Linked DNA regions of Arabidopsis thaliana. The protein of the gene in region 3 interacts with the protein of the main gene of each other region in a biochemical or structural test. Each region holds a gene or a part of one and is shown on either strand. Other genes may lie near its edges.

Region 1 (4,048 bases), on a different chromosome or scaffold from region 3:
GTTAAATAGGGGACATTTCACTTTTTCTACAAATTTTTTCGACAGTTCAATGGAAAACGTCAAGTTAATTTTCGGCTAATGAGATATTGAAGCTCAATGGAGTTAATTAACAGATCATAAATGAAACACGTGTAAGGGAATCTGCTACTCTTTTGTATTGTAGGCCTTAACTTTTTTTATCGATCAGTCGGCGTGTCAGTGTCTTGTGGTCTTAAGGAAAAATATCCGAACCTCATCATCTCCACGAGTTAAATAGTATATATCCTTCTTCTTCGTACGAGGTTAAGACAACTAAAATCTTAAAAAATAAATTAAATACTTAAAATCAATGAATCGTTTCATATATATACATATATATATATATAATATTTATGTGCTTCGATTAATTAGTACATGTAACTATTTTACGAACGTTTAGTTATCGCCCATTTGCACATAAGTTTACAAACAAACATAGAATCATCACATTATATATTGTGCAAAATTCAAATACAAGATGATAAATCTTTACATCTTCAACTACAAACACGATATATGATATCAAGTTATCAACCAATCAAGAGCTGTAATCTAGTAGTTTTTTATTTTTTGTTAAAAAGTTGTAATCTAGTAGTTTCATTTTCATCTATCTTTTTACATTATAGAAAAATGAAAGTATAGAAAAATGAAAGCTTATCAAAAGTTAGTGGGCTACATCTACATTATATTAAAAAAATATATATATATATATATATATATATATATATATATATATATATCAATAACTAGATCGGACAGTGACCAAACCAATCTCGTTGTGTCCAATCCAAGAAAATAACAAAGGAAAGTCGTACGTTTGATGATATAAAAACCTTTTTATGTTTGGACGAGTTTCATAGAACATGGTGGACAAAATTATAGTACTATATACTATTTAGTATCTCCTTTTGAAAAACAGTAAGCCATGTAAATGAATTTGTACAATTAACAGCTATTTAAAAAGCAAAAAAAAAAACAGTGAATGTTTATTTACAAAGTTCCGAAGGGAAGAGGTTGTGGTAGTGGTTAGGGGCATGCCAAATACGGAAAGGGAGGCAAAGAAGATCGGGTAGTCTTCATAATTTCATACTTTTCACTTTGTAGTAATCTTTCCTTTTCTTTTTTAATTTCATCACCAATGTTTCTTTGTTCAAATTCATATCCACACACTCTTTTGGAAATGGCACTGCAGCTTCATGTGAGGTGTGGGGTCATTGCGCCTTATCGTCTGAAAATGTTACCCTCTTGACATTCAATGACCCCATTTTCTTATTTTCCATAATTTCTTTTACCATTTTACTATAACAAGAATGATGCAAAAGGAATAGGCAAAAAACAGCATATTATTTTTTAGTGGGATCCTAGTAGGTCACTTGAAGTCTCTATGCATTGATTATGGATTGCTATATTTGTCTCTCTTTTTATTTTTGAATTTCGAGTTAGTGATCTTCAATGTGTGTTTCAAATATAGATATTCAAAGGTTATAAACCAAGAAAAGAAAAAGTAGAAAAAAAATATATATATTTCAAATCTTTTAAACGGACCATTGGCAACAAAATCTATAAACGAGTTAGGCCCAAATTGTTGTACAAAAGGCCCATTAGGTTAAATAAGTATGGGCCTAAAGCGGTCCGATCAATCTCTGTGCCATTACCTTCTTCTTCGTCGTAGTGATTTCTCTCGAGAGAAAAAGAGAGATGGCTGAAGCAGCGAGAAGACAAGGTGGTGGGAGACCATTACCGCCACCTCCGAGAGGCGTTAACCAACAACCTCCTCGCCCTAAACCTGAACCTGTCGATCGTGAAAAGGTTTGTGTTCGATTTCATTATTCGCGAATCGTTGAATCATCATCCTTTAGGGTTTCCTTTTAGGGTTTTTATCTGTACTTATTGATTTCTTTATCTTTAACCTTCGAATCGCAGACATGTCCCCTTCTTCTTCGTGTTTTCACCAAGGTACTCTTCTTCACTGATTTTACTGAATGCAAGTTTAATCACTGGAGAACTGGCTATGTTTGTTTCTGAATTAGTCTGCAAATTAGGATTAATTGGGTAGGTTTGATTGCAGAGTGGTGGTCATCATACTAGTGAAGATTATGCTGTGAGAGGCAAAGAACCAAAGGATGAAGTTCAAATCTACACTTGGAAAGATGCCAGTCTTCGCGAGCTAACAGATTTGGTATGTCTTCTACCATTAAGATTTAGATTGGGTGCTTGAGACAACAATAAAGCAGCTTGCTTTGAGAACTTTTCTTGTGTAGTTTTGTTTTTACAAATATGACGGATTTTCAGCTAAAGGACTCACTTTGTTTTTACTGCTGAGGAGTGCTGATTAAAATTCACATTTTTGGGGGTTTTGTGTAACGTACAAAGGTGATGCTTCTCTCATAAGCACAATGTTAAATCACGTTTTCATTGCAGGTTAAAGAAGTTTCTGTAGCAGCTAGGAGAAGGAATGCTAGATTGTCTTTTGCGTTTGTTTATCCTAACAATAAAGGTGGCTATAATGTGAGAGAGGTAAGATTACGTTCTCTTCACAATCTTGATCAGATAAGTTGTCACCGTAGCCACGCATGATCATTGATGCATTCTAGAGTTTCTGTGTTTTCCCCTGCCACACCTCTTTGTCGCACATGTAGCTACCAGTATCATTCGGAGTTTTGTCAACAATGTTTCTCTTGTACATGTCTTTCGCTTATTGACAACTCATCTTCTCATGGTTATTGATTTTTGAAACTTCAGAGAGACCACATAATCATAGCTAGTTACTACAGAATGAAGTAATTTGATTGAATGGATGCTTTCAGATTCAATCGTTATGGCTTTACTTGTTCTCTTGTGATGTTTGCATATGTATTCAAGAACCCATGAGAAGAGTCTGATCTTGTGGTGTTGTTTCTGTTAATTGATAAAGGTTGGGGAGACGATGGCTTATCCAAACCGAAAACAACCAGATGACAGTAAAACGCTTTCCGAACTTCCGTTTGAGGTAAGTTTTTTACATGCATAGAAGATCATCTTGTATGATGATTATATAGTCTATAACATTAATTTTTCATATTCTGTTACCCAAGTAGCTATAACTGAAGTTGATCAATCTATCTGCAGATTGGAGATTATCTGGATGTGGCAATTTACTAGGAGGTTTCTGTTTCTTGTTAAGTGGGATTTGGGTGCGTGCACAATGGAAGAAGTACACATTCATATGGTTGTATCATCTTAAACTTCGTTTAGACATGTTTGTATTTTTTGGATCTAGTCTATGTACTAATGTCTAATGGTTTAGTATGTTATCCTGCTTTTTTTGTTTAACGTGTTTTCTTTTCTAAAGAACCAAAAAAAAGATGGAAGAACTCAAGCCATTTTATATACAAAAAGGTATAAATTTAGACTATCTATAGACTATAGCACATGAATATGTATTAAATTAAGATTTCAACCCAATTTACTTTTATTAGTAGAATTAATACTCGCACTTAACGTCGGAGAAGTAGCTGAGAAAAAGAAATCGTGAAAAAAATGAGAGAAGAGGATGAATTTAGACAACATTAATCATCAAAACTATAGTGATAAACATAGAAGAGTGGGCAATGCATTTCAAATATTCTCAAAAATAAAGATATAGTTATGGAATTATACAAAAGTTTAATAGCAAAATATGAACGTTGCGTTTACGATTCCCTATATTGTTCCAACGTTAAGTTTGATTAGACTTGAAAGTTGAAAGTATAATAAAATTTAAACGTTGAAACGGTAACATTTTATTACCGTTAGAAGATAATATTTTATTACAAAAATTCAGATAAATGGCTCTCTATAAATACTCCCATCTTGGGTCAGAAATCGGAATCCTCTTCATTGGTTCATATTTTACAAAATGTCGAGAAACAATCTGTTTTTATTTCTTAATTCTGGTTCTTCCACTTGAGTCAAGACCTCATTCAAACAAACATAAAGCATCATCCTTACAAGGTAAAATACTCTGGTCTAAATCCTCTAGTGTTTACCGTTAAATGGTTTTTTTTTTTTT
Region 2 (5,130 bases), on a different chromosome or scaffold from region 3:
CTAAATTGTACAATTATTAATACTTGTATTTATTATGAGTGATACTAATTTTTTTTAATATAAATTTTATTGGATTTAAATAATCTCGAACCTTAACAATTTGATTAGTCATGAAAAATTATAAATTCTCAAATTTCTCTCCTGAGATTAAAAGAATTCCATCTTTGAAATCCATTTCATTTCATCTTCTAAAAATGAAATCTTGGCACTTGTTGGCTGTTGCTTTAACTTTGATTATATACTGGTTTACATTTTTCTGGCTAGTGCGTATCTTTGTACTCTTATGTGTTTATGTTTTGGCAAATGTGTGAGCATTTTCATTCTTTACATAGGTACCTAAACTTTCATTCTTGTTGGACTTTGGTTAGTTGTTTGAATCTTCTCAATGTCCTCTCCTTTTCAGTATATGGTGTAAATGGTGCTTTAAAACTTACCTAAATTTTTACTGTAGATGGTGAAACTCATTTCTAGTAGTACCTTCTTCAAAACCCAAATTTTTCACTGTGCTCAAAAGACAGAGACTACTTGATGAAAGAGACACTATTTACAAACATAAACTGATGAAGAAATGGTTCAAAACACTGAAACAAACAAAGAACAAAAAAACAACTTGGAAGAATTAAAGAATTGCAAAAGAAATCAACTACTACTCTGCAACATTTCCACACTACAAAAATTCTCCACTCTTTCTATTGACTTGTGGAAGCAGAAGCTTCAGGGACATCAATCAACGGTTCTGATGTTGTTGCTGTTGTCTCTTCCGGTCTAATCTCTCCAAGTTGTGTCATCACTTGTTGAGCTTCAGGTCTTGTTGATGGTGTAGCATCAACACAATGTAAAGCCAGTTTCAGTGTATTCAAAATCTCATCACCCATTGTGTTCACATCATTCAACAGCTCCAAATCAAAAACCTCATTAGTCCACTCTTCTTTAACCGCAGTAGCAACCCATTGAGGCAAATCCACACCGTTTAAGGCCTCACTCGGAGATTTCCCAGTCAACAGTTCCAATATGATCACACCGAGGCTGTACACATCGGTTTTCGTGTTGGCTTTCTTCAGCTTAGAGAGCTCAGGTGCTCTGTAACCTAACGCACCAGCTGTTGCAATCACGCTGGATCCTGCTGCTGCTGTCATTAGCCTTGAGAGACCGTAATCTGAGATCTTCGCGGTTATGTTCTCATCCAAAAGCACATTGCTTGATGTTAAGTTTCCGTGGATGATATTTGCGTGTGTGTGAAGGTAGAACAAGCCTCGAGCCATTCCCTTTATTAAGCTCATCCTTGTAGGCCAATTGATATGTACATCTGGTCCTCTTGCTGCAATTTCAAATATGAAAACAGAGTTACAAAATGGTACTTGTAAAGCAAAATTGTCTTTAACTTTAAGACTTTAGTATCAAACTTACCATGGAGAAACGTGGCAAGGCTTCCTCTAGACATGTAATCGAAGACGACAAGCTTCTCTCCTTTAGGGCCTAAGTAATAAGCTCTGAGTGCAAGGAGATTCGGATGCCGGATTCTTCCCAAGACGTTAATCTCATTCTCAAACTCTTTTTGACTTTTGGTGATCTTTCTCTCAATCTCTTCACTGCTACTTGACTTCCATCTTCAAGTGTAGCTTTGTACACAGTCCCATAAGTGCTTTTCCCCATTATCTCTGCTGTTGCACACAAAAGATCATCTGCAGTAAACGCCATTGGTCCATCAAAATGAACCAGCTTCCCTCCAGTTTCACCTCCAGCTTCAGCTTCCCCTCCTTTCTCAGTCTTTGCGGCTACAGCTCCAGGTCCAGCCTCTCCGCCCTTGGCTTTGGTTTCATTGGCTTTCTTCCTCAGCAAGCAACATAGAACACAAACAAGGATAAGCATAACTATGAGGAGTGCTCCAGACGCAATGAGGATGATGTCTTTGGTACTCAGATTCCTGTGGGATGGTTTCCTTTCTTTTTCAGGAGACGGTGAAGGAAGAGTAGGACATGGTGTCGAAACGCTGTATCCGCAAAGCAGTGAGTTCCCGACAAAAGAAGAGGAATTGAACTTTTGGGACAAGAGAGTAGGAACAGGACCAGATAAGTTGTTATAAGAGACATTGAAGAAGTTCAGGCTTTCCAGGTCAGAAATCGAAATAGGAATCTCTCCGGTGAGTTTGTTTTGAGACAAATCCAAATGTATAAGAGAAGAAATGTTCCCTAGGGTTTCAGGGATATGGCCACTAACACTGTTACCACTAATATCCATTTTTCTAAGCTTAGTGAGTTTGCTTAGCTCAGAGGGTAGGGTTCCACGGATCCTATTATGACTAAAGGAAAAAATCTTGCAGCTGAGTTAAGTTGCAGAGTGAAAATGGGAACGGACCAGAGAGAGAGTTGTGATCAAGAGATAAGACACGGAGATTAAGAGACTTACTACCCCAAGTATCTAAGATTGGACCAGAGAGGTTGTTATGGTCAAGAGCAAGAAACTGAAGGGAAGAAGACCGAGAGAGACTCACTGGGATTTGACCAGACAGTGAATTAAAGCTGAGATTAAGCCTAAGAAGCTTAGAAGAGTCAGCAAGATTCGGTGGAATAATCTCAGAGAGCAAGTTATTGCTGAGATCAAGCGTTTGAAGGAAATGTGATACACCGAGAGAAGCAGGGATTGAGCCAGTGAGACGGTTGTTGAAAAGCTGAACTCCTCTAAGATTAGGAATGAGTCCCAATGACATTGGAATCGAACCTCCAAGGTTGTTGTCATGAAGACTAAGCTTACGAAGAGCTTGAAGCTGTCCGATTTTCTCAGAGATTCTACCTCCAAGACTCTTCCATGGAAGTTGAATGACGATGACTTGACCTTGAGCACATTTTATTCCAGCCCAGCCTCCAGAGCAAGCACTGAATCCAGAACCGTTCCAGCTTCTCAAGAAGCCTCTTGGATCAATCAGTTCTTGTTTAACTGCTTGAAGACCTTGGTAATCAGCTTGTGTTATCACTACACCATCCCAGGCTTGGCTTGAGCAGGGAGGGACGAAGAAGAGGAGGCATATGATTAGATGAAGGAGAAATCGGCTTCGAAGTGAAGCCTTAGGTTGATCAATGTCGGTGTTGATCATACTCAGAGAAGTAATAGCTTGGTTTTGGGTGATAAACTCCATTAGAAGATGAAGAAGAAGAAGAAGAGAGAAGAAAGAAGATAATTGGAGTTCTTTATGGGTGAATAGTAGTTGTGATGAGGATGGAACAGGGAAAGATTTTGGATTTGAAAGAGTTTTGTAAAGAGAGAGATGGGTTTCGTTGGAAAAGAACAACAGAGCACGTGACCATCTTAGAGAGAGAGAGAGAATCTTGGTCTGTGTTCTTTTATCTTGTAGTGAGAGAGAAGTGAGAGAAAGAGAGAGAAGGGAGACAAAGATCAGGTGATGGTAATAAGAGGTTGGGGGGTGGGAACAGTGGATCTCTCTGTTCTGGCCTAATATTAGTAAATGGGCTCCAACGGCTAGTTTCATTTATTCATATTAGTTACTTGTGTTTAATAGTGTTTTGAAAACACTTTGTTTTGTTCGATGGGTTGCTCTTGCTCATGTCATTTTGTTTAACAGTGTTTAGTAAAATACTAGTATATGGATTTCATTGGGAATTTGGAATTACTAATACATAAAGGTAGATTTTGTTAACTAAGTATCAAAAAACGATAAAAAATCATTAATCACAATACAAACATGTTGGTTCTGACAAAGATGAAAAATTTACTAGTATTACAAAAACAAAAATTTTGATTTGTCAAGAGTACTATCATGCTTCGAATTTGAACCAGTAATATATTACTTACATTCAAATTTACCAGTTGTTTTCTTGGAATCTTTTTTTTATAGCTCTTAGTTGTTTGTATGTGAGGTCAACATTATTTAATTTTATTCCAAATCTAAGGAAAGAGATCAAAGTATTGTTCTTCCGAATAAAGTAACAAATAAAGCAGACAACATAATTTTATTTTATTCTTGCAGACCAGCTTCGTTTAATGCGTCGGAGCTGCCTAATGGACACGACACACGAACAACAAACCGCTCCGCTCCTTCACTTCTCCTCCTAACGGCTATATTTGTGGGACCTACAAGCCATTGGATCACTAGATCTTGTAAAGAAGCCCAAAGGAAATGAACAAGCCATTTTATTTATGGTTACTGACTAAAATGCCCTCGCAAATGGAAAGTAAATAAAGTAGTACAGTTTCAGAAGAAGCAGACACACAACTTTGAAACTTGAAAGTGAAACTTTTCCTGGCTTACAATTAAACAAAGAAAAGAAGGGAAGGGTTGTGCCGTACGAGGTTATTATGTTGACGCTGATCTATCTTTGCCCTTTTTAACATAAGGCTGGTACACGTGTTTAAAGTGTTTGGATACTAGATGTGGAGGTTTTGAACTTCAATTTTTTTAAAAATTCTTGCATATACATTTTTCACTTCAAACACATTTTCTGAACATATACCAAACCTGACCATTTCTCTTATGAACAAGTCATCTCTATAATGAAGTCTATAATGACATATCACTCCTGTGGTTGCAAGAACAAAATTCTGGAGACACTCTTACCTTGAACTCAAATGGTATGTCATGTATTGTAAATACTATATCACAAGATTAGTAATTCTCAAGCCATAAGGTTTGGAGGAATCGAAACAAGATGGTTTCCGAAGGCGAATTTTATCATGCTGATGAAGCTGTTGCTAAAGCAATTAGATATTAGCCCCGGGAAAAATAAAGTCCAAACAATCTCTCAAAGTTAAACTGTACTCAAACCATCAACCTCGAACCCCAAAGCAAAGCCTAATTTTGTGAACAATAAACCAACTAACAATGCCCTACTTTTATAATCGGATCATCCTCATGTCCACCAAATCTGTTAATAAGTTTTATATTTCACAAAGTGGGAACTATGAGCAAATTAGCAGATTGATACTAGTTAGGAAAGGCAAGACAGTCATATATATGACTATATTCCATCCATAAAAGCATGAAAGTTACTTACTTCAAATCACAAACCAATGAGAAAATATAGGAGATAACCACAGTTGAGACTTATTAACACTAAATTAGATTAATATATACTAACTCGCCACTAGACCATCAATGCAACAGCTATGAACACTAAC
Region 3 (5,577 bases):
TGAGTTATAAAATTCTAACTTCACTTGAGAACCTTTTCTAAAAACTTAATTTATTGAAATTTTGTAGTGCATAAAGAAAAGTTTGGGAAAAGCTAAGTTCACTATCTAGATCACCTTAGTTCCATTAGTTTTTTCAATAGTTCCTTCTTACAAAACTCCATTGTTGAATAAAATGCACATGAAAGACTTCGTTGATGGTTTGCAAGGTTGCTCAAAAGTGGAAGACATGACGTTACCCCTAAGCCTAAAGGTCCTTCGTTGGACGTGATCTTCCGAGGTTTTTGTTCTGCTGATTGCGTGAATACATATTTTTGGCCAAAAAAATCTTTTCTAGAGAGTGAAGGTAAGGAACAAAGACTTACCTTTGTTTTATATGAATCGAGAAAGGAGGTGAAAACATTTGTAGAAATTAATTAACATATTTGTTCTTTCACACCCCTCTCCAATATTATATTTATTGTTTCATTGTTGTTAATGTAAAGAATCACTATAGAAAACCTATCGTTTCACTATATTTACTTGTTTCATTAGTGTTAAAATTATTATTTGTCCGTGATGTGAAGAATCCCTTTGGTGCAAAATAGTTATAAAGACCAATAACACGTACAATATCTGAAACTTGCTTCTCTGCAATGCAATGAGAATTCATCCTTCCCATCTCAATTCTTTTTCAACACTTATTCAAAGAAAAGAAAGGGAAAAGGTAGACTTAATATTTGTGGGCTTCCATCGAAGTCAACTCTGCTGGATCTTTCTCTCTCTCAGATTCATTCCCAAGATGGAAGCCTAACCAACAAACAGTTAGTAAACATCCACATACAAAATGTCAACAAAAAGTTTGAAATATGTTCAGTTAAACAAATTATACCCAAGCTTCAGGGAAGTGTCGGAGTCATCCTCAAGGGGAGTTCCACTGTCGTAGCTTGACACATTTGTGGTCACCGACTCTGTCTCCAAAGCCTCTTTAAGCGTCGTCAGTTTTGCCCTTTCCAACGTCTCTAGCTGCCGATATATAATATACGTTCCCTCATCATATTTTCTTATACATAAAAAAATAGATTAAGGTTATTCCATGATATCTATAAGGGTTTAGAGCCGTACTTTATCCCTCAGTCTCTTATTCTCATCCACCAATTCCGATCCCTGTTTCACTTATTAAGAAAGTCACTAGCTATAGATAGGCTTATGATCCATTAGTTATACGAATTGTATGTACTAACTACTAACCCGTTTCTCAAGTGAGAAAATTTGGCTCATCACACACTCGCCCTATTTACCAATAACAACAACAAAGTCAAACTTTTATATATGTACAGCTTATTATTTATATGCCACGTTAAGGAAAATATGCATGCTATTAGTTTATGTATAGTAGTAAACCTTCTTTTCAGACACACGGCTAAGTCCGGATTCAAGTAGTTTCTCCAGCCGCTGCAACTCTTCTAAGTTCAATCCATCAAGATCCTCTCCTCTCAGTTTCCTGTTTTACGTTAAATTAACACTCATTTCTATCAAAAATATCTCTATAGATATTTATCCAGTCAGTGATATATCAGATATTTGTTCAGTAGGTCTACCAAAGAAAAAGAAAAAAAAAACTACCTATGCTAGATATAGATAGTAATGTATATAATTTTTTTAATGAATTAATGAGAATAATGGGCCATAATTGAAAATTACAAAACTCTTGTAAATTTTAGAAGTAGCTCTTAAAATCTACAAACAAAACATCAATTTCCAAGACACACGCCACAACTTGACGAACTTACACGTGAAATGAAATATCTTCAATTTCCATGAAATAGATTCTAAAACCTAAAAATAGCATGCACACATCATTGAAAAAACATAAAAAAAAAAACCACACACATGAAATAGATGATCTCTTACAGCTATAGCCTATATGAAAATAGGTTTATCTGCATAACATATCAATGGAGCCATACCGTAGCTGCTTGGTTTTGTCTTCGACTTCCTTACTTAGTCTGGAGAGGTTACAATTCTCAAGCTGCTAGATGCAAAGTCAACAGTTTCAGGATTCTGCTATTAATATGTAAAACCAATTAATTAGATGCTTCAAGATTAATGATTATATGCCACTCAATGTTTCTATATTTAGACTTACAGCTAAAAATTATAACAAACACGTGTAACAAAGTGAACATCGGATAATATTATAGAGAGAAGGGTTTGATAAAAAGAGAAGGGTTTGGTAAAAAGAGCAGAGAGTTTAAAATCCACAAAAAAAAAAAAGAGTAAGTGATATCGAAAATACCCGGAGATGAGTAGAAGGTGGATCCATCAATTTGTTGATGTTACTTGCATGAAGACTATACCTTCCCAATATGTCTCTCATTCTACACGTTTCAACAAACAATCCATCTTTCTTATAAACATTTCCTTCGTCCATATTACATTTGTAAAATTAATTAAGTACATTAGAAGCCTTTTTGGTTATAATAAAAGAAAAGTAATCAGAAGTAGCCATCACGATACAGACAGATGACTCGTTTCCCAATTATGGTAATGCTTCCCAAGATAAACTAAACGAGTGGTTAAGAATTAATCCCCAATCATACCAAGTGACAGTGTCAAAGACTTTTGTAATACACAAAGTCAAATGAAAAAAGGGAAAAGAAATTCATTCTAATTGTGGTAAGTACTATGTATCCATATATACATATGCTTTCCTAATTAACAAAAATCACACTATAATATTCTGCTCTCTTATTTCCCAGTACAGAAATCTTAACCATGAGTCTAAATGAAAATGATTGAAAAATTACACGTTAAAAACCCATATTATGTTAAACGGAATTAAATACATGATGTGTTATACATAAAAGTAATAAAACATCAATCCTATACTTTAAAGTATAATAATTTAGGTCATCAAATTATGCCGTACATGAGATCTCCGAGCCTACTGATAATTAACTTTAGAGAGTAAACGAGAAAATAAAAATCTCATTTAAATACATATCTTAATATATTTATCCAACCATATTCTCAAAAACACAAACATGGATTGAAAAAAATAAGACAACTACTAACAAAAAGATAGAATATACCTTGAGCTGGAGAACTCGAAGAGCTTTCCGGTGGCAGAGAAGATGATGAGAGCAACATCAGCATCGCAAAGAACTGAAAGTTCATCGGCTTTCTTGAAGATTCCTCTTCTTCTCTTTGAGAAAGTAACTTGTCTCGCTGTTATGTTATCAATCTTCTTTATCCTTATCTTCTCTCTCGCCATTTTACCAGATCTCTCCTTCACTACTGTTCTTGAATCTGCCTATACCCATAACACCATTTAGATTTTAGACCAAGAACAAAGAAAGAAACCAATTGGAACGGTGTTAGCTAAAGAGAGTTTATATAATATTCTTAGGAAACCCTAATGGCTAGAGAGAGAGAGAAAGAGAGATCAGATCCATAAACCATGAGAAGCAAAAGAATGGACAGGACTAGATGAATTCATCAAACACTTTGCTTAAGAAGAAAGAACACAGATTCACAGCTTTTACCTTTCTGTGAGTTGGAGGATCTTGGATTACGTTATTCAATCTCAGCACCCACTTTATTAAATTTGTGAGAAGATAAAAAAGGTTTTTCTGGTAGCTGTTTACTCCCTAATGTGTGAGTGAGAGAGAAAGAGAGAGAGAGATGGTGACTGTGTTTGTGTTCAAGATTGGAAAAAAGAGTCTGCTTTTTTTAGCTAAACAGTGATCTATACTTATCAATGGGCCATATGTTTTGTATCCCTTTTGATTATGTCTTTTTCCCAAACTATAATCATTAAAAATAACACATAAACACACTTTGTGTTTTGTCTGACTGAGCTGCCAGACGAAGAGACTGCTACAGTTATGATTTAATAATTTACCTAACCTTCTAATTCAATTAGTCTGTCATGGAATAATGTGGAATTGTAACTTTATTCAGTAGCGGGTTTCCTAGTTTTACTGTTTTAGTCTAGTTTTGAATAACTTCCCATCTAAAAACAAAATAAAAATAAATGACGTGAAATACTACTCCGTATAAGTTAATAGATTTATATATGGCTAGGTCAAATAAAATGATACAAAAGTTACCCACTATCAAAAATGTAACATGATAAAATAAAAAAACATAATTGGAAAATGAAAGAAATCACAATACACAAGGAACTACGTACCAATTCTAATGGAAAGAAAGTTTGGTTACTTTTTTTATTCGTAATTAGAAGATGCTGTTCATCAGTTCATCTACCTTTTTGGTTTTGGTTTATTACAAAAGTTGTGTCTATTAAATATTTCATGTCTTTTTTATAGTCTTTCACCTATATATGCTAGATGCGACACCTGATAAGATCACTCGTCTCCCACCGTCATCATTATCTTTTATTTTTGGGTTTGATCAGCCATTTATACCCTTTTAAGTTTTAACCCTAATTAGAAATGATATATCACCGGACTCCGGTAACTCTAGGGTGATATCATGGCCGACAAGTATCTTGTAAATTTTTTCTCCCAAAGTACAACTGAAAATTAAACTAAACTGATAAAATTCGTGGGAAACGTACCATCTCATAATGATACATGTGAAAAGTAATATAGATGACTTTAAGACTTCAATCTGTATAAGATTAAGTTCTTTATGACTAAAACAAATAAGCACTAAGAATGTGAGACAGATTTAGTATTGTAAGCCTTTGGTTTTGTTTATGGGAGGAAAAAAAGCGAGTGCAAAATCAGAAAGTGAGAGTTTTTGGTGTAGATCAATGTTATTGGTCTTTAGGATCTTATAGTAATATGTTGAAAATATATTTGGGACGAGCTAGAAGACTCCCAAGGTCATATAAATGTGAAACTAAACAGTAATTGTAATAGTGTTCAAGAAGAATCATCTAACACGTTTAAAAAGCTTAGACTTGTTGTTGACCCTTGTTACCCTTTCATATATCTTGTGTTTCTTACTTGAGTTTAGAAAAAGAAAAATCTTAAGCCTTTCATTTGGAATGCTTGGTCATCTTGTCAGCCCTCTAGGCTCATGTATATCTCCCGATTGCTCGATCCCGAAAGTCTTCACTAACCTTCGTTGTCAGCTTAATCCTCAAAGTTTTGACTTCCAAAAATAAATTATGTGTTGTACCCTTTATATCAACTCACATTTTGCTTCCTCGTAAACAATGTTTTTTTTTTTCTCCTCCGAGATCGAACCATCATTTATAGTACTTACTACTTATTTCCTTAAACTCATAACAAGTTCGAAATTTGGGCCATATTGATGTCTTAAAAATAGGCCCATATAAGAACAAGAAATCATAATTCACAAAAACACAGAACCCTCCGTCTCATGAAGAAGCTTCACGATAACGACGGCAAATGGTAAAACGTGAACCACCTCACCACCAGACACACAAAAAGACGAGACCGATCGGCGATCAGTAGACTTAACCAAACTCGCGGTGAAACAGTCGGAATCCACCGCTATAAGGAACGATGATGATCTCCCAATTCTTCGTCTTATCTCAGCGAGGAGATAACATCGTCTTCCGTGACTGTAAGCTCTCTTTCTCGATCTGATCCTCTCTGCTTC

What was found. The genes of interacting proteins can lie anywhere in the genome.
Region 1: the proteins of AGL24 (region 3) and SAP18 form a complex in vitro, tested with the Arabidopsis thaliana proteins (one study listed by BioGRID).
Region 2: the proteins of AGL24 (region 3) and MRLK form a complex in vitro, tested with the Arabidopsis thaliana proteins (one study listed by BioGRID).

What each region holds. Positions count from the first base shown.
Region 1 is NC_003071.7:18,798,992-18,803,039, reverse strand, and holds SAP18 (SIN3 associated polypeptide P18), read left to right. Parts: upstream 1-1,656; 5' UTR 1,657-1,716; coding exon 1,717-1,827; intron 1,828-1,941; coding exon 1,942-1,974; intron 1,975-2,086; coding exon 2,087-2,197; intron 2,198-2,439; coding exon 2,440-2,535; intron 2,536-2,932; coding exon 2,933-3,007; intron 3,008-3,126; coding exon 3,127-3,159; 3' UTR 3,160-3,512; downstream 3,513-4,048. UniProt on the Arabidopsis thaliana protein: Links the histone deacetylase complex to transcriptional repressors bound to chromatin. Involved in the tethering of the SIN3 complex to core histone proteins.
Region 2 is NC_003074.8:20,816,385-20,821,514, forward strand, and holds MRLK (meristematic receptor-like kinase), read right to left. Parts: upstream 3,134-5,130; coding exon 2,403-3,133; coding exon of another isoform or gene 2,291-2,402; coding exon 1,477-2,290; coding exon of another isoform or gene 1,408-1,476; intron 1,319-1,407; coding exon of another isoform or gene 690-1,318; 3' UTR 537-689; downstream 1-536. UniProt on the Arabidopsis thaliana protein: Can phosphorylate AGL24.
Region 3 is NC_003075.7:12,670,393-12,675,969, forward strand, and holds AGL24 (AGAMOUS-like 24), read right to left. Parts: upstream 3,715-5,577; 5' UTR 3,525-3,714; intron 3,293-3,524; 5' UTR 3,254-3,292; coding exon 3,072-3,253; intron 2,358-3,071; coding exon 2,276-2,357; intron 2,009-2,275; coding exon 1,947-2,008; intron 1,481-1,946; coding exon 1,381-1,480; intron 1,270-1,380; coding exon 1,228-1,269; intron 1,144-1,227; coding exon 1,102-1,143; intron 1,003-1,101; coding exon 869-1,002; intron 787-868; coding exon 768-786; 3' UTR 505-767; downstream 1-504. Other genes in the region: AT4G24550 (Clathrin adaptor complexes medium subunit family protein), read left to right, coding at 5,481-5,541. UniProt on the Arabidopsis thaliana protein: Transcription activator that mediates floral transition in response to vernalization. Promotes inflorescence fate in apical meristems. Acts in a dosage-dependent manner. Probably involved in the transduction of RLK-mediated signaling (e.g. IMK3 pathway).